Linked DNA regions of Mytilus edulis. The protein of the gene in region 2 purifies or fractionates together with the protein of the main gene of each other region. This does not show direct contact. Links are inferred from orthologs where the notes say so. Each region holds a gene or a part of one and is shown on either strand. Other genes may lie near its edges.

Region 1 (11,892 bases), on a different chromosome or scaffold from region 2:
ACATTGACAATAATCAGTTGGCTTTCAGTTTGATGTTTTCTCAATTATAATATTAATATTTTTTAATTGGTTATCCCATTAACTTGTATGAATTTAACTTATATATATACATTGTAGTTTGTATATGTATCAATTACAAACAATAACCTCTTTCAGCCTTTGTCATGTTTGTTGCTTTAACAATTTCCAAGTCCATGGGTCACAGATGATGCCCGCGCTTGCATGTGAAGTTATAAAGGGACATACATAAATTTTGTAACTCAAGAACTGTAAATGTGGCAATACCCAAATTTGTATTCCGACTGAGTTTTGTTGTAATATGCATGATAAGTTTTATAACATTTAGTCAATGCAACTTACATGTACATTACTTAAGTTAGGAAACAGAAACAAAAAATTCAGCATTTTTTTCATTTATAAAGGGCATACAGTCAAAATAAGGCCTACAAATTTCAAACTTGATCTGCGCTTTTTGTTAATTAGGCCAGGATTTTTTAATTTGTTGGTTTACGGATCCGCCGACCTGATTTTGCCTATTTCCAGAATAAAAATAAAATTGACTTTTCATGCTTTTTCATTCCCACCGACCCTAACAAATGCATTATCCCTGAAAAATAAATAAATTATCCTTTTTTTATAAATGAAATGCATTAATCACTAACAGAATTGATAACACTTTCTGTTGTGAAAAAATGAAACTTCCAGTTTACGTTTCTAAAAATAGAAAAATCGATTATTAATGACCTTGACATGTCGTTTGGAGAAATATTTTTGTGGAACGAAACCCTTGTTTAAAACCAATTACACAATAAGTTCGTTTCTCTTATTTGTCAACAGTCCGTAAGATGCATCTTCTCATAGAAATAGACTTGTCCAAATGTGGACAGGTGGAAGTTCAGGACATCAAGTTAAAGTACTGAATATTAACAGATCATTTAAAATTTTCTTGTTTCATAGATAATAAAAAAATTTCGTCCATTTGGATAAAAACGGGAATGCGTGACAACAGATTAACCCGATATTCTCGTTTTTTCCAGTGGACGAGTCTATTACGTTTTTGACGCGTGTGTTGAAAATTATTTTCTTACCACGCTTTTACATTTATTTCTTTATAAGTTTTCGTTCTTGAAGATCATTATTCACCAAGTTTTCTGGAATTGATTAAGAGCTATGTGAATTTGTCTTCCTTTATGAAATTTAATTACGTCTTTGTCCGTGCACCCCCTTTTTTTCGGAAAATTATTAGGCAATGTCATGCAATTTTTATTACAACTGAGCAATAATATTTCATTAAACTAAAATTTAAGAAATGATGACAAAATAGGATAACAAACATATTATTAGAAAGGTGAAATATATATTTATTTTGCATATCAGTTTTCTGTCTTGAAAGATATTTTTTTTATTTTTTCCCGACCGACCGACCCGACTTTTTCATGGAGAAAATCCGTAAACAAACAAATTAAAAAACCGTGGCCTTAGCATTGTGAATAAGTTTCATAGCATTTGGTTGATGCAAATTAAAATTAATTAAAGTTGAAGAACAAAAACAAATATTTCAGCAGACAATGGCAGAGAAATATTTTGGTAGGTGGAAAATACAATACACAAGGATATGTTGGAATGTAGGTTGATCCCCTCTATAAAATGTCCAGTATGTCTTCGAATATACAAATATTAGTAATTACACCTTATCGCTATTTGTCCACCATTACTGCATTTACTGGATATCACACAGGTTCCTGTAAAATTTTGATGTCTGTAAAACAAAATATCTGACCCCACAATAAAAAGTGATTGTTGTATGTGTCACAAGTTGGTCCGAGTACACAGTTATTTCGTAGTGCATTTCTTTTAGACAATAAATGTAAATAAAAAAAATCTCACCTGCGCTTTCTCAATAACATTTTTACAGTGTGTTGTACTACTTTTGGGACAAATTATATCAAAATTATAGAAAACTTCATCAGCTCTAAGTCAAAATATGGACAATTTTGTGTTAAGGGGGTCTTGAAATCTTTTGACAGCTTCCGAAGTGCTAATTTTTGACCTTTTTCAGCTGGACCTTATCACTACTTTACCTAAATATTTATGACCCAAATTTTTTTACAGTGTCATTTCACCCCCCAACTTGCTATATGAGGCATAAAACATGGAGAATTAAATTTGGAAGGGGTATAACATAAATTGGCAAGTAACACACTGTCCACATTAAGGACTATATTCGTGGACAACGAAAATCAAAGGACGATAACTGTGTACTCGGACCTAATAGGATAGAAAAAGTTGCCCAATCTTTATAAAACTTGGTATGACAAAAGCCTAATATATTATAAGACTGCTTACAAAGTTTCATAGCAATAGGATATATATTATAGACACTATGATTAATTCTATATTCAACTTTACGTGTTAAATTTGGACGTTAAAATTGAGAAATTTCAACTATCAACATTTGGGGCTTTTAAAATTAAAAAATTGCAAAAAAATACTTTTAAAATGCCTTAATATATAATACATCATGTATTTAAAGCAATTCAGTACTCATTTTATATATCAGACTTAGCATAATTTTTCAAAAGTCAAATTTATATGAGCCTGTGCCTAAAAATGGAGGTTTTCTAATGAAGGGGAGCCTTACATGAAGATGTAATATTTTCCAGCAATTTTAAATTTGTGAAGCATTTTGATTATAAATTATCCTTACATATGTACTTAATGTACTTTAAATGGAAAGAAAACTTACAAATAACATATCATATTAGTTTAAAAGGGTCTTAGGCCAAGTATGACTAAAAATAATTTAGGGTCAATTTAGGCCGTAGCACATATTTACATTTAAAAATGCATATTGAAGCTATAGGAAATAAAAAATTGTGTCTTTTCTATCATTTCTATACTCAGGTGACATGATACAATAAATCTGAGCACAAAAAGCCTATTACATTCAACTTTTTGAGCAGACAGTATGGTCTGATACAAAGATTTTTCACTTTTTAGTGAAATACTTGCATCAATTTTAGTCTCAACAGGCTTATATTTGAACCACATGGTATCCTACAGAGGTAAAGAAAGATATTATGTGAAATGAAACAGGTACAAAAGACATTGTTAAATGCTTTTTATACAATTTTAGTGAGGTCTTTATTATGGACTTCAACTTTTATGTACCATGCTCCTCACATTTAACTTGATCCAAACAGGGCGTTAGATGAGGGTCATTTATACAACACACTTTGCTCATATTGTCTGAGATAATCTTCTTTTCTGTAGATTCAGAGTTCACAAATGAGTAATACAACTGGATTAAAGCATAGAAACACAAAAATTGACACATGAAAACATGTCAGATAGAAAGTCAAAATGCCACTTATGCATCAAAATTGAAAAAGCTATGAAATGCTTATTTTGACCATATAATGCCAAAATTGGTAATTTTTGCAGAAATTCTATCAAATAAAAGTTTAAATCCTTTAGTTTTATGCTATTTGACAAATTGACACCATCAGATCATTCAGGGAAGTTGCCAAAGTACAGATTCTATATTTCCTGATTTCACCTCTTAGGTCCGAGTACACAGTTATTTCGTAGTGCATTTCTTTTAGACAATAAATGTAAATAAAAAAAATCTCACCTGCGCTTTCTCAATAACATTTTTACAGTGTGTTGTACTACTTTTGGGACAAATTATATCAAAATTATAGAAAACTTCATCAGCTCTAAGTCAAAATATGGACAATTTTGTGTTAAGGGGGTCTTGAAATCTTTTGACAGCTTCCGAAGTGCTAATTTTTGACCTTTTTCAGCTGGACCTTATCACTACTTTACCTAAATATTTATGACCCAAATTTTTTTACAGTGTCATTTCACCCCCCAACTTGCTATATGAGGCATAAAACATGGAGAATTAAATTTGGAAGGGGTATAACATAAATTGGCAAGTAACACACTGTCCACATTAAGGACTATATTCGTGGACAACGAAAATCAAAGGACGATAACTGTGTACTCGGACCAGTTCAAGCGGCCGGGTCAGCCGGGATTAGCGATAAGGTGTATTGTCAAGCATTTCAATAACTTCCAGCAGACTTGTTGAAATGCTACTGCAATACACATTCCAAGGCAAGGTCATGAAAGTTCAATACACAAAAGTAGTCTGGCAGTTGACAGAGCTATGAAACGATATTTGTTAAGAAATGCAGGCTAGTGATTTCTTTTGGGCTATCAATGTATGGTAACCCAAGCCCAAACCTGGGAACAGTATATCTAACTTTAATATACTTGGTTTTTTATATAGGATAGCGATCGCCATTGACAGTAAAACCTCGTCAGACCCACTAAACAAGCCCCTGTGCCAAAACCAATGCAAATGGCAATGACAATTTTGAATAGTGGCCAACTCTAAAGTGCAAGTATCTCTGAAGAAAAATAAATTTCAGAGTTTCGACAATTACCTAAAATGTTGCAAGTAAATTGCGTGAGAGTTGTGATTGAATAAGTTGTTTTCAAAACATATTTTTTTTTACCTTCTGTCAAAATAAACAGGAAGTTGATCTTAGTCATAGGACATCATAAAACCTTAGTATACGATCCCGATATTATTAAATTTTTAAATCAGATGAGATACACTTCATTATACTGATTTCTGTTAAAACGTTGTAAAATAGAAACACAAATATATTTTTAAATGCAATCAGCTTCTAGCGCACTATAAAGGATCCCACTGGAAAATTTCAATAACAGTTTTGTTGGTCATCCTATAAAGCCGTATCAGAGACAGAGACATATGTCTCAGACAGAGACATATATGTCTCAGACAGAGACATATGTCTCAGACAGAGACATATATCTCTGGCCGTATATATTGTTAGCTATATAAAAGGTCAATTCCACTCATAATTAATCGAGTCTATGTAAATTTTCATAATTTAATTTTTAAAATTATAATTTAAAGTAAACATGTAAAAAGTTTGTATTGTCAATGAAAAAAGAAAAGTGCATTTCATTATTACATATAGACATGGTAGATCATGGTAGTATGAAAAATATTAAGTTCAAATCGAGAACTTATATATATATATATATATTCCCAGGTTTAAGTGGAATATGTTTAGGGAACGACCATTGAACTTCAAAAGGCCGGAGGGTGCTAATTTTTTTTTTCGTAAACAAATATTCTGTTTCCCAAATTGATGAAAAAATATTCAGTATTCTATTCAAGCAGAGGACTTAAGATAGTATTCTGAATCCAGATTTTCACCATACCTTCTAGTGTTAAATTTTGAACTTTGATTGATAGCGGCAAAGCGCTTGGCGTGAGAGAAAAAATCTGACTCAAACTAAAAACATGTCCCCCCCCCCCCCCTTTAAAGCTAAATGGTTGCTCCCTCAGGTTCTTATTGTTTTCTGCTGAAATAAATTCATTGGTGATTTAATTATAACAAATGACATTATGACAATTCTTATATACTAGTATGTGCGTACCTAACAAGGTCTTCATGACCGTCTGACAGTTTTCATTTTACCTTGACCTCATTTCATGGATCAGTGACCACGGTTAAGTTTTTGTGGTCAAGTCCATATATCAGATACTTTAAGCAATAAGTCTAATATGTTTGGTGTATTGAATGCTTATTTTGTTTAAACGTCCAACTTGTAGGTGTCATCTGTACATGTACAAATAAAGCAAAAATGAATTTGTATACCTGTTATTTGTACAATAGTAGGCTAATTGCAGGATAAAGCTTTATATTTATGCCTTTCAACATAAAATCAATGGTAAGTAAAGAAGGCGAGACATTTCAGCGTGTGCACTCTTGTAATTCTTTGCAAATATTACAAAATTAAAAAACAAAAAAAAACAAAAAAAACAATCCATAACTTTATCAATTGTAGATTTTCATGGAGATCGAGGTGGAGAATTTGGAGTAGTTAATTTCTACAAAAGTTATCGCAAAAATGCAAAAAATGTGTCAAATCAGCAATGAAAGGCAATAATTCATATACTGAGGCTACTGAAGATTCCGACCACATCAAGTTATTTGTATATCCTATAAATCTAGCGAATGGTTTTTAGGGGTTTGAGAATCTATCTATTGTTTTTTTTTCAAAATTTTAACAAACACCGCAAAAAGAGAAAATAGATCTCTATTCAAGATTATTATTCACAATGGTCAATAACATCTTTAACGGGTATATTTACAATTTCTGTCAATTTGATATATGAGTGAGGTTGTCTTAATGATAATCAAATTGTTTTCAAGATCATAATAGTTTTGAAGAAACCGATCAAAACATGGCGCAATTCGCTGACTATTGACATCCAAAGAGCGATAACTCAGAAATGATCGTCCGATTTTTCAAAAAAATTAATCGTAATATCATGACTGCTTTTAATTTATAATTTATATATTTTTTACGCTTTCCTCGCTTACAATTTTCAAAACTGCATTAAAATTAATGGAATATATACATCATCGCGGATTATATTTACATTTAGCGTTTCTTTCCGTCGCGAAGTAAGGAGGAAATTAGTGACGACTTCGATTGACGTCGGACGTCATAATATCTTCAGTAGCAACGTTGTTGTCGAGCGAAACAGTTTATATTTATTTTATGCAAAGAGAACGAGGAGGAAAAAAGAAAGAATTACGTATTATCTAGAAGATGAATAAGGAAATTAAAGATTTTAGTAAGTATTAGTTATTCTTATTTTAGAAATTTTATTATTGCATGTCAACTGCGTCTTTTTGGAATATATCTTTTTTGATATATGCAATCGAAACTTGTAATGATTGCGAATGTCACAAGATGCATTCAACAGCTTTCGATTGTTCGTGCTTCAAAATATGTACTTCTATATAACGATTGGTTTCAAATGTATGGTTTGTTTGTGTGCGCTTCAGCTTTGCGCATACGGTAGGAAAATATCAGCGTTAAACTATATATTTATTCATATGGTTGAACACCCTTTCCCCATTTTCACCTCGGCCGTCTACGCGGCTTTTTACTTTTAGTAATACGATACTGTATATGACGATTTAGTTTTGCATTTAATGTTTTATGGAGATGTGAAAAACCTTTACAATTACTAGTATTATAAATAAGTGGCATTAAAAAGAATATGATCTTAGTTGGTATTTCAGGAAAGTTTTAAGCGTCTTACATAATTAAGGCCTTACTCTTGATTTAGGGCAAAACAAGTTATTAGGCTCAAATTATTTCCATTTTTGACGTTAACAATGAAAAAATATAAATTAAAAAAAACGGAACTTAGCGGTGATTTAAAGTTTGGCGGTTAAGAATTCCTACTCGGCACCATCAAACACGCTTTCATAGATACTTCTGTATATATATATATATATATATTCCACTTCATTTATTCTTATAAGAATAAATGAAGTGGAAAATTTTCTGATATACTATTACGGAAAAGCTGGAAATATGGAATATAAAATTAAACTGAAATTTTGTTTGGATAAGCCGACTTGGATAAACGAACCTTGTCAATTGACATGGGACAATCAGTTGTGTTATAATATGGTGGTTTTTTTTTTGCCGTCAGCCTGGCCTTTAATATATCGTTGTGCCATTTTCAGGTATGAATGAAGATAACGCGATCTTTGAACGCAACTTGAGCGGATTTATCTTATCTGTATTGCATGCTGCTTGCAGCGAAACAGAATCAGATGCAGTGTCAGTTCAACAAGCAATGGACACAGACACAGCAAGTGAAGAGGAAAGAGAAGCTTTCTTTGGAAATGCCAGAACCAAAGAGTTTGAGAGACTTACTGCAACAATGACAGAACAAAATGCTGAAGCAAAGAACACAGAAACAGCGAGTGAAGAGGAAAGAATTGCTTTCTTTGGAGGTGCCAGAACCAAAGAGTTGGAGAGACTTACTGCAACAATGAAAGAACAAAACGCTGAAGCAGAGAACACAGAAACAGCGAGTGAAGAGGAAAGAATTGCTTTCTTTGGAAATGCCAGAATCAAAGAGTTTGAGAGACTTACTGCAACAGTGAAAGAACAAAATGCTGAAGCAGAGAACACAGAAACAGCTAGTGATGAGGAAATAATTGCTTTCTTTGGAGAAGCCAGACTTAAAGAGCTTGATAGACTTATGTCAACACTGAACACACAAGTCGACAAAGTAGAGAATCGGGACGTTCAAGCCAAACCAAAGATAATTATTACAGAGGAGATTTTGAACAATCAGGTCGAAACAGAGGCACTAACAGAAGAAACAGCTAGTGAGAAGGACCGTGTAGCGTTCTTCCAATCGGTTAGGGATGCAGAGCGACAAAAACTTGTTGAAGCATTTGAAAGAGAGAAAATATGGAAAGAAGAAAGAGAGGAGAGACGAGAGAAAAAAAGACAGGAACAGATCAGAAAGATGTTTGAGGATTTTCATAAACCTGCAGTCAGTCCATTATCGGCCTCATATGTACCAGGTCCATCAAAAGAGCATTACAATCTGGTATTTAAAAATATACTATAATGTTGCATCCTTTTTAAAAAATATAAATAAATAATGAAAATAATAAATCAGTATGTATTGGTACGAAGTCCTAAATTTGAATCATTATATAATTGTTCTATGCGATCGTATCCAGTCATTGTTGGTGTTGGTAATGTTAAGTTTTTAGATTTTATAATACATGTACAAAATGTATGTAAATTGTTAAAAAGTTTATTCATGACTAGGTATATTCACTTGATTTCTCGAAAGTTTGTTTCGATTTTGTAGAAAAGAAAATGACTAGTGTATTACACAATATTAATGCTATATTATTGGGCTGTTTATTTTATAGTATCCAAGTAGCAGCAATACTGAATACAACATAATGCTGAAATCCTCAGTCTCAAAACTTCACGAGAGAGTGAAAGCTTTCACCGAAGAACAAAAAGATCTCCAGCGAAAACTTGAACTATCACATGCCATAAAACATAGAGATACAGAAGAAAATAAAGAAAATAGTAAGTTTATAATAATTTAAGATATTGATTGATTATGCTCTCTACTATATAGTATTATAGCTAACTATAAGCAGACAAGATGAGTCCCCAGGAAACTTAATACAAATTTAAAGTTGTTAGAACAAACAATTTCATCAACTCCCTATATACGTATCAACAAAGGGTACTAAGTAAAAGCAAAAGGAGATTCGACCGAAAATATGAATTCGACCAGATCCTCTTTTGATTTTAATTTCTCTCTTTGAAACGGTAAAGGGCTAGTCGCAACCATATAACTAATATTATGCTTTAAGATCCTTTCAGAACACGTGACTAAAATACTAAGGCTGAAGTACTTTAAAAACTATAACAATATATTTGATAGGACACATCAGCATAAGAACAAGAAGTGATGCAGAAATACTAGAGGCCGACAGAACCAATGACGTAAAGAGAACAAGCTCCGTTAGACGCTTCGTAAGCAGGATGTTCAAGGTAAAGATATTTTCATTCTCAATTTTATTATTATATTTCTAGTTAGATTATAGCTTTTTTTATTGTTGTATACCCCGTATCTCATTTTATTGTCGTTCATATCCCGTATCTCATTTCACTGCTTTAATTATCCCGTATCTCAGTTCACTACTGTATATTTCCCGTATCTCTGTTTACTATTGCATATACCCCGTATCTCTGTTCACTATTGCATATACCCCGTATCCCTGTTCACTACTGTATATTCCCCGTGTCTCTGTTCACTATTGCATATACCCCGTATCTCTGTTAACTACGTATACTGTATATACAACGTATCTCTGTTCACTACTGTATATACCCCGTGTCTCTGTCCACTACTGTATATATCCCGTATCTCTGTTCACTATTGCGTACACCCCGCATCTCTGTTTATTCATATGCATTACGCGTCTACTTACCTTGGCATTGACAATTTACCATTTTTTTTACATTTAAAACACAATTGATATTTTATTTTGATGAAAAATAGTATTTAAATTGATTTATTTTTATTTTCAGAGAAGCAAATCGACGACAGCTGATTTAAGTGCTAAACAGATAGACCCAGAAGAATTGAAGCTAGATTTGACATTTTTGAACGATAAAAAAGAGGATGACCATGAACATGATGAAGATGAAGGTAATAACCTCAGTCAAACTACAATTATTTCACTTTATAACTTGTCTTTTTCGTTGTTGTTGTTGTTCTTCTTGTTTATGTTATACAAGTTGTCAAGAACACCCATCCTCTTGTTTGTTGTTGTTGTTGTTGTTGTTGTTATTGTTGTTGAATCTGATATGGGAATTTGAAAACACAGTACCAATTAATTTGAGGTGCGCAAATTGAATATTTAAAGAAAGGGGGATCCAACTTTATATTATTTGTCTTCCAAGACTAAAAGATGTAGTTTTAATAACAACAATAGTGGTTTAACTATAACCTTTCTCAATCAGTTTATTGAGCAAAATAGAAAGATCAGAAAGGAGACCCGTAATTGGCTATTATGATACTAAAAATGCTTCAACAGATATGTCAAGCGGCTTCAACAGATACGTCAAGCGTATCTGATGAAGCAGCACAGCTATAAACGGAATGTCAGTACATTAGGGTACCCTCCATCCAAAAGGACATAATCACTAGTTTTACGACTCGATTAAATCAAATCAATATTGCATGCGTCGTAATAAATCATGGTTGCACCAATATAGATTAAAAAACTAATGATTGTTATGTTGCTCATCTTTTTGAATTTGATATCTGAAATTTTCATTTCGCCTGTCAAACTTCTGGTCTTTAGCGTATTATTGATCCAGAAACATTTGCCCTGCATGTGGTATATAAAGGATCGGTACTATAACTTTGTATTACCGGTAATAAAAATACAACAAAACTTAATGTTATAACTTATAATAATTCTTCTAATTTTTCTTTGATTTAGACCAACCAGATACAGCAAGAACATCAAACAGTGAATGGTTCACACTCAGTGATATCGAGGAACCACCCAGACCAAGACTTAAGCCATTTTTTACTCCATTGAAAGAAACACATGAGACCACAATATCAAAGTCTACCAGTCATAGAGCCGCTGAATTAGTTAACACACTTCTGCTAAATGAACCAACCAAACCAGTTCGCACACACATTGATTCTATTAATGCACGCCCTTTAAGTAGATTTCATCGTTTAAGAAAATGGTTCAAACGACTTTGCTGCTGTTGCTGTAGCCAGAATACTGAAGACAGGGATACAGTTTGTTCTTGATTTAATGAGCTATGGATTTTTTTATCACATATTTATTTGTTTATTTTTTCTTTTGTTCACTTTGTTAATTGTTTTTTTGTTTGTTCACTTAGTTATTGATTATAATTTTTGTTATTAAAATTTTGTTTTGTTTTAACCTGGTGTTGTTTTATAGTGGTTGCATGGTGTTTATGCATATCTATATTAAAAAATAGTCTCTGTATTTAAAATCAAAATACAACTAAAAAAATACAAATAACGGATATACTTGGGCTTGTATTAAATTAGAATTAGAAGAATGGTCACATCATTCAGAAAACACATTAGTCTCTTTTTTAAATGTTTTAATCAAGAATACACGGGTTATCGCGCTAATTCGTGGTCGTGATGTACACATTACCCCACTCGTTTTTCAAAATATCGGATAACAGAAAACAGGAAACAAGAGACAGATCGAAAATGTCCTCATTTAATTAAATGTGATTGAAGTGGATGAATAGAAAAAAAATATTTATTTGAAAAGTTCCTTCTTAAAAAATTATAATACCTTTTACAAACACATATACTAGTACCGGTATGTTTTATGGTCAAATTTACACATTGATATGCGTGAAATGTCTTGCGGATCCAAAACTTTCCATCAATCATCCTTCATTGATTCTCAAAATAATCAA
Region 2 (11,721 bases):
AGGAGAAATTAGGTTAGTAAGAATGTGACATCAAACAACAAATGATGTACAGAAACTTGATAAACTCCATTATCTGAAGTTCTCTTTGTTTGAGACCCTTATCATCCCTACAATCTATAACCAAGTATTGCACAAGTCAACAACCAAACTTCATAACACTTTCTACAACTTGCTAAACCAAAACAAACCTATAGGGCATACATAACATATATACTAGTTGGGTCATGACTTTTTGTCATATCGTCCTAAGGCAAGATGCAAATATTTCATAATAAACCACAACCAAGACAGTATAAATCATTAACTCATATACAACCAGTCCATACAATTCCCATATCACTGTCCATGCAATAACTGTCTTTCAATACATCAAATTGGTCAATATATATCTGTTAAGATCAAACTTGTATATATCAAAGTGTCCTGAATTGCCAGTTGAGGATGCAGAATTTTTCATTAGTGGAGGTCCACTGACTGCCTATACCAAGGCGACTTGCTCCAGTCATACACCAGGGATTTCTTATATAATCAACAAAATTTTTTCCTAAAAAGGAGGGCCGGGACCCCCCTCCTCAAAATCTGTTTAACAAATTCACCTGAAGGTCATTTATATAGTAACAAGCAATATCCCTGCACTTAAGTTTTACCTGTCTTGTTACATTCCAACATACATAGACTTGGTATATGATAGGTTATATAACTAGCAATGATTAGTTATAGATGGGTTATGTTTATCACCTGTATTCTACATTAAGGTACAATTAACAACAAAAGATTCTGCTTATCCACTTGATTACTATAGCTACACAGGATGTTACAACAGTTGCCTAGATGTCAAATAGTTCAATTCAAAAATACATGAAATTTCATACTTATTCAAAACAGCATCCATGAGTCCCAATATAAACTATAATCTATTTTTAGCAAAAGGGAATAAGATGCCAGTTGACTGGAAACCAGTCAAATTTCCTTAAAAGAAAACCCTGGATACCAGTCTAGAACCTCTCAAAAGAAGTCCCTAAATCAACCATCTATAGTGAATGTGATTTTTAAATGGAATTTTATGTGAATTAGAAATTCATATGTAGGGAGATTATCTGAGTAAACGTTCCACAAATAATTAAACAATAACAATAAAACAAAAAAAAAACAATAATTCAGTATGCTCTGTATTTTATATTTCAACACCTCTTTTTGCAATAAAAACAGGAAAATCTTTCCCCTGTAATGTGACTGCAAGTTGTAATTAAATGTTTGATAGTCTGGTTTATTCAGTGTCATTTTTCTTTCCTTACCTTTGGACCCTTTTTCACTGGTAAATATGTCAAATTGATATTTTAAATCATGCATTAAAATGTTCCATTTACAGGTTAGAGTATCAACTTGAAGAGTCTCTCATATTAGTATTTAAAATCCTTCTAGTCTTAAGAAGTATTATATCATTTGAAAATGTAATTGAAGGATTGTATTTATGTCTCATTTTACTATGTACAACCAAAACCATATGTTCTTGCAAATATGAAAATTGTGTCCTTGAAGTGTTTCTGTGTATTATAACTTAAAGATTAAATTTAACACAATAGACTTGAACAAAGCAATATCTTCAAATGTTTCATGTTGAAAATACATGTAATATTTGCCACTGGACATTAAGCAGTCCACAATCAATTAGTTTTATCTTAACAATGTGTATATTATTATTTTAATTATTGAAAACAATCAACAATCAGCAATTGTCAGCATCAAGTCTTTTTACAATTGGACAGCTTTCTCAATTTATTGGGAAAAAATAAAATAATGAAAGTTACTATAAATGTAAAGATTAAATGGGACATACAGGATAATTATAATTCATCATAAGCAAACACTTTGTCAATATCAATATTAATTTGACCATAATTGTATTAAATATCAAATTTTAAACCAATATTGCTAGTTATTTCTGGTATGTATTGATTGGCCAATTTATAAATCAGTATGCCTGATATTGGCTTTACTGACAAATACAGTAATTCTCTTATCACTATTTTGTATTCTCCTATTCATACATTTATGTTATATTAAAGAGTGGCAGCCAGAGTTTAATTTGATAGGTACATGTATTTTCTTATCTTAGTCTGAAATAACAATTTAAAAATTCTGTTTTTAGCTTTTAATAAGTCAATTCAATTCAATTAATATTTATAAGTCATTCAATTTCACATAATATTAGATTCACACAATTTGACATCGCAAGATCAAATGATTATCATTATGTTATACCTGCTTTAGAAAGATCAAAGAATCATCATTTGACATTGATCTTTAACCTACAAGCTGTACATTTCATACCGCTATCCTATTCTGCTTGCTTGTATTCAATTGAAAAAAGTTTGAAAACGATTGGACACAATAGAAAAGACGCTATTGAATGCTCTGCAATGCTTGCAAGAATTTCTATACTACTAGGGACCTTGACCATAAACCTAGGACCACACAATTTTAAAATAGGTGTTCCTTCAAAGTCACTGATTTAATTTTGAAGATTTTGGTGTATGTATATACCACTAAGTGCCTACAAGCCTTTTTAATGGTACCACAAGAAAACCTAAACCTAGTGCCTCTGATTTGATATTACATAATTAATACATGTTTATTTCATAAGTATTGTGTCATATAAGGTTACAGTAAGCGGTAATCTATACACCAACTACAGTACATACACACACCTTCAATCCATTGTGGGACTTTTGAATTCCATGTATGAATTTATGACCATCACATTAAATAAAGTTTCAAGCTCTAGAAAGATGGATAAAGATTGGCTTAGCATAATGATGCATACAAGAATGTTACTGAGGGTACAATTGTTTATATACTGATGGTAATATATAAGCATTATCAAATACCTTTCACACCAAGTAAGGGAATGCAGTGTATGAACACATGTTTTGTAAACCAAGCACACAAGAACTGCAAATACATCATATACATATATACTTACTGTGCCATTCTCATACCAAAGCATGGCATGATTTCTGGATAAAACTTTGCAATCAAATATGCCATTGTTGTTTGCCGGTCTAGCTCTTGCTACAGATCTGCCAATCTTGACTGGTTCATGAAGCGAAATATGTCGCTCACGAAATGGATGTGAATTTGGCTGACAGGACAAAATAGCCACTGCAGACATGGCTGACTTATGCTAACCTCTTCCTTTATCCTAAAATTATACAAGATATAATAGAGCCTGAACTGAGAAAACTTCATTTTTTTTAATTCTTATACCGGTAATAGTTAATCTTCTATCTTCTTCTGTATAGGACCAATTGAGCAACTAATGTATTGTATATTTATTCTCAGAAGTCCTTAATATTGCATGGAATACTTGCCACTGAGTATTGAGAAGAAAACAAGTTATCAAACAATATCAACAGATTTTAAAGATTTAAGTGTATGGTAATTTATACAGTGTGTACTTCATCTTAGAAAATGAAAAAGAATTATCATTGATTCAAGTTTATTTCAATGTACAATACAATGTAGACATTAGAAAATAGTTTTAGAGAATTTCTTCTCGTTTTTCTGGGGTTTTTTTTAATTATTTTTGCAAACATTTCTCTACAATTTTAGGCAATTAGTGGTCAACAAATTAATAATAAACCAGATTCAATAACAAATTAAATGAATATGGATAATAATGTTTATAAAATTTCTTGCCTAGCCTACCAAAACAAGGCGTAGATTGAAAATTTTAATCCGAACCTTTTGATACTCTACTACAAGAAGAAGTTCGGCTGCTCAGAGTTTTATTTACTCATATTTGTACAAACATTGTTTTTAATTTTTATTTTCATTGGGTGCCAATGTTTGTTTATATAACTATTTCAAGATTTTTCACAGTATTTATCAATCATAACAATATCAAATAAGGTAACAGATCACAAGGGTAATATAATTTAGTATTTCAGAGGTGGTTACAATCAGTTAAGCATTTCACTAGACAAAATTAAAACAAAAGCGTGTATAAAGCTAGTTTACATTCTTTTTTTAAGACAAGAAAGATAAAAAATATTATATCTCAAGGTTAAAAGTTGAATTTTTAAATGATGTTGACATATTAAAAATACGTTGATAACAATCTTAGAGCAATAATTTTCAATTAACTTTTCATATTTAAAAAAATATTTTCAGGATAATTACTGCTACATTGACACTGGAAAAATTATGAATTGCGGGGAAACGCTGTTCTACAGAGAGGCAAAAGATTTGCAACGTCACAGATGTGAAACGTCAAGATGCTTTTTAAACAACAAAACAAGAAAAAAACTCAGCAGCAAGAAGTTAAATAACAACACATTTTGGTGTTGACAAAAAAGACAGTATTCACTTCCCTCAGTTCCCAGAAAGAAAATATTTCTGGACAGTAATACCATCACATCTTTCTATATAATTCAAGCAAAACCTAAACAGGAATACATTAGGAACATGTTTATTAGTCATTCTAACTGAAAATATTTGTTATTGAAATTATACTGAATAGTCTGAGTTATAGGGAAGCACCTTACCATAACATTTCGTGTAAGGGTTTATTTCACCAGTTCGAGACAATAATAATAGATGTATCATGTTGAAACTAAATATTTATTCACCTATGTTCATTATTTATCTATCTAAAATTTCTAAAAACAACTAAAACATATCGAAATAAACTGATATCTTACCATTCATTTTCTTCTTTCCTTTCAGGAGACTGCAGCCATCTTAAAATTTTAGTGTGATTTAATCTCTAAAGAATATTATTCTTATAATCTTTGTAAAAGTAAATTATTAATACTAGGTTATACAAAATAAATATAAATTATTAGTCTTTTAGTAATTTTTTAATGAAACAGAAGAACTTAAAATAATTGATTTTTGATTCGAGACTAACAACAATAAAGGTGAAGGACACCTGCCGAAAATGGCAGGAACGAAAGAAGAACCTGTTTTCCATCGAGAAAAATCGCCAGATGATGGCCCACAGTCACCCACTATGTTACCATGGGACAGATTTTCAAATTGGTTATATTGTGCTTGTGTTGTTACGTTTGACCTAGAATTAGGTCAGGCCATGGAGGTATGGGAAACCCAGTATCGTTGGACTTTTCGATTTATAAATACAGCTGCTGATAGAAAAAAAATAAACATTAGTACCGATTTCAGTGAACTCGATGCTCGATTGTATGTGTTTATAATCCTCCTTTCTCAGTAACACCATCGTGAGAATAGCGAACATACTTGAAAGGAAAAATATTTAACTCATTGACACTGTATTTGCACTAAATAAACAAAGAAAAATTGTAAAAATTGATAAAATAACAAATATTTAACATAACAAAACTATGACAAACTATGATTAACCATTTAGTTTTAATGCATTACATAATAAAAAATAAATAAATAAGATTTATTTAGAGTTGGCAAGGTATACAAAGTTGAAACATAGACAAAATAAGCTGTAATGAGCTTTTAACTGACATATGAAACATTTTTAACAATACAACATCTATAACAATACAACACATAATACACATGCAATAAATTTCACAGCACAAAAATGAAGCACTAAAAGCAGAATATAAGCATAAGCTAGGTATTAAAGCTATAAGCATATAGGTGTAAACTAGGCATAAAAGCTGGCAAAATGTATAGCATAAAATATTTAAAACAGGGTATGATCTACATGTAGATGACAGATCTGCACAAACTGTGTACTTACAGTCATTTCCCTTCCATGACTTCAAAATATTTTGGAACTGACTAAAATTAGCAATTTTTCTAAAATCATCAGGTAGATCATTCCATAAAACAGCAGCTGTGTATTTAAAAGAATTCTTACCATAGGTTGATGTTCGGACCCTAGGTATATCTACAATATTAGAATATCTAAAATTATATTTACAATCTTTCAATACAACTTTTAAAACACTCAATAGCCATGTTACGCATACATTTGTACGTCTTATTTTCAGTGATGGAACCTTTGCTTGTAAAAGTAGTCCATCATATGAACATAGTCTTCATATATAAATCGTAAAGCCCTTTCCTGAATTTTTTCCAATTTGGTGGTGTTATTTTTGTTGCAAAAATGCCATGCCAAAGGACAAAAAATAAATGTGTGGAAAATGGTCAATTTATTCAATTTTGTAATTTAGCAGCCAATGCGCTTTAAAACATTCAGTTGTTGGGATGCTTTACAACAAATATTTTTAATGTGGTGATTAAAATTAAGTTGATAGTCAATATCAATACCTGAAAGTTTGACAATCTCATTACAGGATATTTTTGCTGACTGTATATTAAAAACAGGCTTTTTTGCAAATGTTTTATTTCCAACTGCAATGGCTTGGAATTTATCAGGATTTGCCTGCATACAATTAAATCTAAACCAGTCAATTAAAACAGCATTTTCTCTTTCAAGTGTACATAATAAATTTTCAAAATTGTTGTCAGCATATGACAGAGTATTATCATCGGCATAATTATACAGGGTACCATGTTCAATAAAATAGAATATGTCATTTATAAAAATATTAAATAATAGGGCCCCAGGATTGAGCCTTGGGGTACCCGTTTCTGGATGTCAGTCCAACTGCTGAGTACTCCCTGAAGTTTGATTTGTTGCCTATGATCTGTAAGATAATTTTGAAGTAATTTCACTGATTTAGAAGAAAGACCATAGGCAGATAATTTACTTAAAAGAATATCATGTGGTAAACAGTCAAAAGCTTTCGAAAGATCCATTAGAAAAGCTGCCACATACATATTTTTATCCAAAGCTGTTTTCAAATCTTCAAGAATCTCAACAAAGTTGTCTGACATCAATGGCCTTTTCTGAATGCACATAAAAAAGCATGAAATATATTTTCAAAAAATTCACAAATTTGATTTTTTTACCAGGCATGTGCTGGAAAGCAAACATCAGTATGTGTTGTGGTTTTCTGAAACTGAAGAAGACTTTCAAATTTGTGCACTTTCTGTAAATTTTGTCACAATGATTAAATTATCGTAAGTCTGTTCGCTCCCTTAAACATTCACCTCCTGGGTTTGTTTGCACAAAATTAATATTCAAATGCAGTTAATTACTAGAGGAGGTTTCAGCCACACAGCCTTATTGGCCACAGTTGTTTTGGCTATACCCCTAATTCAGTTAATTACTAGAGGAGGTTTCAGCCACACAGCCTTATTGGCCACAGTTGTTTTGGCTATACCCCTAATTCAGTTAATTACTAGAGGAGGTTTCAGCCACACAGCCTTATTGGCCACAGTTGTTTTGGCTATACCCCTAATTCAGTAACACTTAGCTAATGGTTCTGCCATGGGTTTTTATGCCCCACCTACGATAGTAGAGGGGCATTATGTTTTCTGGTCTGTGCGTCTGTCCGTTCGTCCGTCCGTCTGTCCCGCTTCAGGTTAAAGTTTTTGGTCAAGGTAGTTTTTGATGAAGTTTAAGTCCAATCGACTTCAAACTTAGTACACATGTCCCCTATGATATGATCTTTCTAATTTTAATGCCAAATTAGAGTTTTTACCCCAATTTCACAGTCCACTGAACATGGAAAATGATAGTGCGAGTGGGGCATTCGTGTACTGAGGACACATTCTTGTTTTTATTGTTATAAAGGGAGGAAGATATAATTGAATAATTACATTAGATGTATGTTTCATTATAATATTTTATTCTGATTGGCTAACTGCACATCACGTGTTATTCCGTAAGCAGTTGCAATGCTCAATACAACTTTTCATTCATGATAACATGTGCTCCAACAATAAAGTGCACAGGTGAATTAAATAATAAAATATATAAAATTCGTGTTTTCATAATCATAGCTAAAAAATGTAATTATAAGTATTGAATGCTTCTTTTTGTAACTTTATAGGGTTGTAAAAGCGTTGACCGTGCGTACATTTTTAGAATGAAGCGCGGATTGACTGTGCGTACATTTTTAGAATGAAGCGCCTCCGCGCTTCATACAAAATGTACTTCCGTCAACGCTTTTACACCCCAATAAATTTACAAAAAGAAGCATTCAATTCTTAATTATTAAATCAGGAAAAAGTCATGAACTGATAGCAAGTTTGTAAAGTGTATCAGATTCTACTGATGAAAGCTCAAGTTGGAGCTAATATGTTTAGATAACTCATGTCAGTACACCATTTCTATATTGCCTACTGGATTGCTAATTTGTAATTCATGAACATTTTTAAATTATTTTACAGCCATTGCTATGCCGATGAGAAACTTCATATTGTTGATGGTTAGGCCACACCAATTTGATTCCTTGTTCGACGGACCCGCCCGCACCTATTTTTTTCAAAACAGAATTTTTTTATTTTTTTTATATTCCCGCTTCCCGCATCTGGAAATGTAATCTTGTCCATATGAATATTTGTTTCAGCATGAAACCTATTTATCCAAAGCGGGAGTGCTCCATAATAAATTTATAAGAGCAGAAATACCTGTAAAGAACAAAAAATTGGTTACTTTCCCCCTTACTTATATTCCCTATCAAAAAAATTTCGTTGTTAGAATAAAGTACAAAGAACTTCTGACGGATTTGCCTTCAACTGCAATTATATTGTATGCTGGCGAAACAAAACTATCCATAACCGCTGCATGTTTATGCACCTGTCCTGATTGATCGAGGGGCCTGTCGTTCAGCAGTTATCGTTTGTTGATGTTGTTCATTGGTATTTTCCCGTTTGGATATACATGATATATAAATTAGATCGTTGGTTTTCCTGTTTGAATTGTGTACGCTAATAATTTTGGGATCCTTTATAGCCTGCTGTTTGGTCTGTATCAAAGCCCTGTGTAAAAGGCCGTACTTTGACCTGTGTTTGTTATTATCAGGTTGAGAACAACCCTCCCTCAGACAAGGGGTAATTTTACTGATGTAGAAAAGAAAATAGAAATACCAAGGATTTGTATAGTTCTTCAATACAAAACCTTTGAAAACTTAGAATTTTGTACTCAAAAAGAGAAGAGTTACATCATATTTTAAACAACTTTTTCTAAAAGAGGGGTCCACTTATTTTGAATAATATTAAACTGTTAAAGTAAATGTGTTAATTAACATGGTTAAAGTCCAGGAATATTACAAAATTCTTGGACATGTTTTGACCATTTAATACCAGATAGGTATATAGTTCTTTGGGAAAACATGAGCCCTTTTGTACAAAAATATATAATAACTTATATTGATCCCTCATAAAACATGTAAAAGGGATATTTATAACATAAAGGGGTTGTCCCCAAACTGATTATGACTTGGATGGAGAATTGTCTCATTGTCAGTCACACATACATAGACCAGATTTGATTATTTCTTGGTGAACAGGGAAAAAATACTTCAGAAATTAAAGAAATGTCAAAGTACAAGCTTTAATATTGTCAAAACCTACTATTTTATGTTTACAAAAAAAAAATTATAATCGCTCGCCTTTACTTTTCAAGCTTCGCCTCAAAAATTTGCAAATTAAATATTTTTTTATTAAAATTTTCAAATCGCTCGCTCGCCCCAAATTTTGGAGTCCAAAAATCCGTAGAACAAGAAATTAAATTGGTGTGGCCTTATGTAAAGATATAAATAAATAACGACCTCGTGCAAATGGGCTATTCAACTTTGTTTCGCATTCAGTTCTGACATTATTTTCCTTATAAATGGCTAAAACGACTAATACATGCTCAACAATCTCTAGCTTATGGGTTAACTTGAAATTTATAAAAATATGTAAGGGAGATTGGAAGAAATTGACTTGGGATCTTAATTGAATACCGGCACTAGGACAGCATAAACTTAAGTGGAACCAAGTTGGGAACCTGCTGCAAAGACAGGGACACAAAGCAACAAGGTCCTGTAATTTTCCTCAGAAAAACATTGAAAATAAGCTAAAAAGCATAATGCTATATTATGCTCATAATGCTATATTATGCTATGTTGTAGTTTATGTAAATGTGTTTTTTAGGTCTTTCCACTTTTCTGTGGAAAGACCTATTGTTTTTCTTCTGATTATTTTTTTTTTTTTTTTTTTCTTCCGCCAAATTTTGTTCTTGCGATAAACATTTGTTTCACAATATGTCGCTTTGATATTTGGTATATGATATCGAACAGTTTATGCGCTTTTGAAATTTACCCTGCGTAACCGAATACTTTTCTTTGTAGGAGTTATCTCCCCAAACACTGTTTTCCTTGTGCTCACAACTCCTTTGCAACCGTAAAAGATAACGACAAATTTATTTTACAAATTTGCTCGTTATATCCTTTGCATGATTTGTCCTATTTTGACCGAAGCAATATGACCGCTCCATATGAGAGTTATTTCCCCTTATGCATCTGATATAAGTGATATGCATTTCTATCTTATAAACCATAAGTGATAGAGACCTAGGATCTTTTGATTTGAGGTCCTTGGTCCAAAAAATTGAAAATTAGGTCAAGGTCAAAGGTCAAGGTCATATTCTAATATTTGAATTTGGCTTATTTTCACTTATATTCAAAGACCGTATAAGATATCAACAAATTATTTTTACTAAATTGTTAGTTGCGACATGTCGTAACCCATAAATTTTTATTGCAAGGGCACGTTGAACGTAAAAGGGAGTTTTCTCCCCTCTTGTATTTAAAAATACGTGTTTGGTGATATAAGTCATTAACCAAATATAATTAAGACCTATGGTCTTTTGATTTGAGGTCCTTAGTTCATCATGACCTTGAAATTGATCTCAAGGTCATAGCTTAATTTGACGTTCTAGATTTTGACCTTTGCTTTTACTTTATATGTATACATGATAAAGCTATGAAACTTTTGGAAAAAGGTATCAAACCATTTAACCTTGAAAGAAACAACCGGAAGTGACCTTTTGTAAACCGGAAGTAGCTATTTTTTGTACTTTATTAATATAAAAGTATATAGAACCAGATATTTTTGGAATCAGTGTCAAGTAAATAATCAAATATAATCGTAAGTAACATTTTTCAATAGGAAGTAACAAATTATCTCCCTTATTTAAAAAAAATGTATGGAAACCAAATATTTATTTTTGGAATCAGCGTACTAGAAGCTATATCATTTGACGATTGAAATGACATTTTAAACTTCGTTTCACAACTTTCATATCAAAATACATTGTTTTGATGGAAAGACCTTCAATTGTTCTCCGAACAATTGGTTTTTAATTTTTATATATCTTTCAAAAGATGTTTTCTTATTTCAGCTTATTTATCCAAGTCATGTCAAGTTAACAGATGCTGAGGTAGGTCAAGGACAAAATATCCCCTCAAATATACATGAACAATGTATGTTGTTATGTTAGAATTTTGAAAATGACATATTTCTTTATGTTAGACTGCATGCAACAATTAGTAAAGAAATGGAATTGCTGACACAAAGTTAACCTGATATGGTAAACATAAACCAAGTGATATTTCATTAAGCAAGACTATATGGTTACTGGAATGATCACCAACATAGACAGAAGTGTATTTTTTAAAATTTGAACATTCTATATATAATGTCAATATTGGTTGACTTAACTACCAAACTGTAGAAAAACGTAGAAAATTTATTACAACCAATTTACAGATCTGTCTTTCATGAAAGATTTTGTTACGGTTAGACAAGTGTTTAGTTTATGCAGGTTTAATTGCCAAATATGTGCTATGGTGATATATGAATAGATTTTATATAGTATTA

Evidence for each region.
Region 1: the proteins of sarcolemmal membrane-associated protein-like (region 2) and FGFR1 oncogene partner 2 homolog purify together in Homo sapiens (affinity purification with mass spectrometry; 3 studies listed by BioGRID and IntAct, with this or other methods). This does not show direct contact. The link is inferred for Mytilus edulis from reciprocal best matches to the Homo sapiens genes SLMAP and FGFR1OP2.

Annotation. Positions count from the first base shown.
Region 1 is NC_092350.1:79,885,781-79,897,672, reverse strand, and holds the start of FGFR1 oncogene partner 2 homolog, read right to left. Parts: upstream 4,596-11,892; 5' UTR 4,527-4,595; exon of another isoform or gene 4,455-4,526; intron 1-4,454. Other genes in the region: caldesmon-like, read left to right, coding at 6,667-6,691, 7,599-8,479, 8,814-8,979, 9,344-9,453, 9,994-10,114, 10,914-11,239. UniProt on the Homo sapiens protein: May be involved in wound healing pathway.
Region 2 is NC_092344.1:98,979,156-98,990,876, forward strand, and holds the start of sarcolemmal membrane-associated protein-like, read right to left. Parts: upstream 4,778-11,721; 5' UTR 4,704-4,777; intron 3,203-4,703; 5' UTR 3,173-3,202; coding exon 2,984-3,172; intron 1-2,983. Other genes in the region: protein DENND6A-like, read left to right, coding at 4,943-5,098, 11,243-11,281. UniProt on the Homo sapiens protein: Associates with the striatin-interacting phosphatase and kinase (STRIPAK) core complex, forming the extended (SIKE1:SLMAP)STRIPAK complex.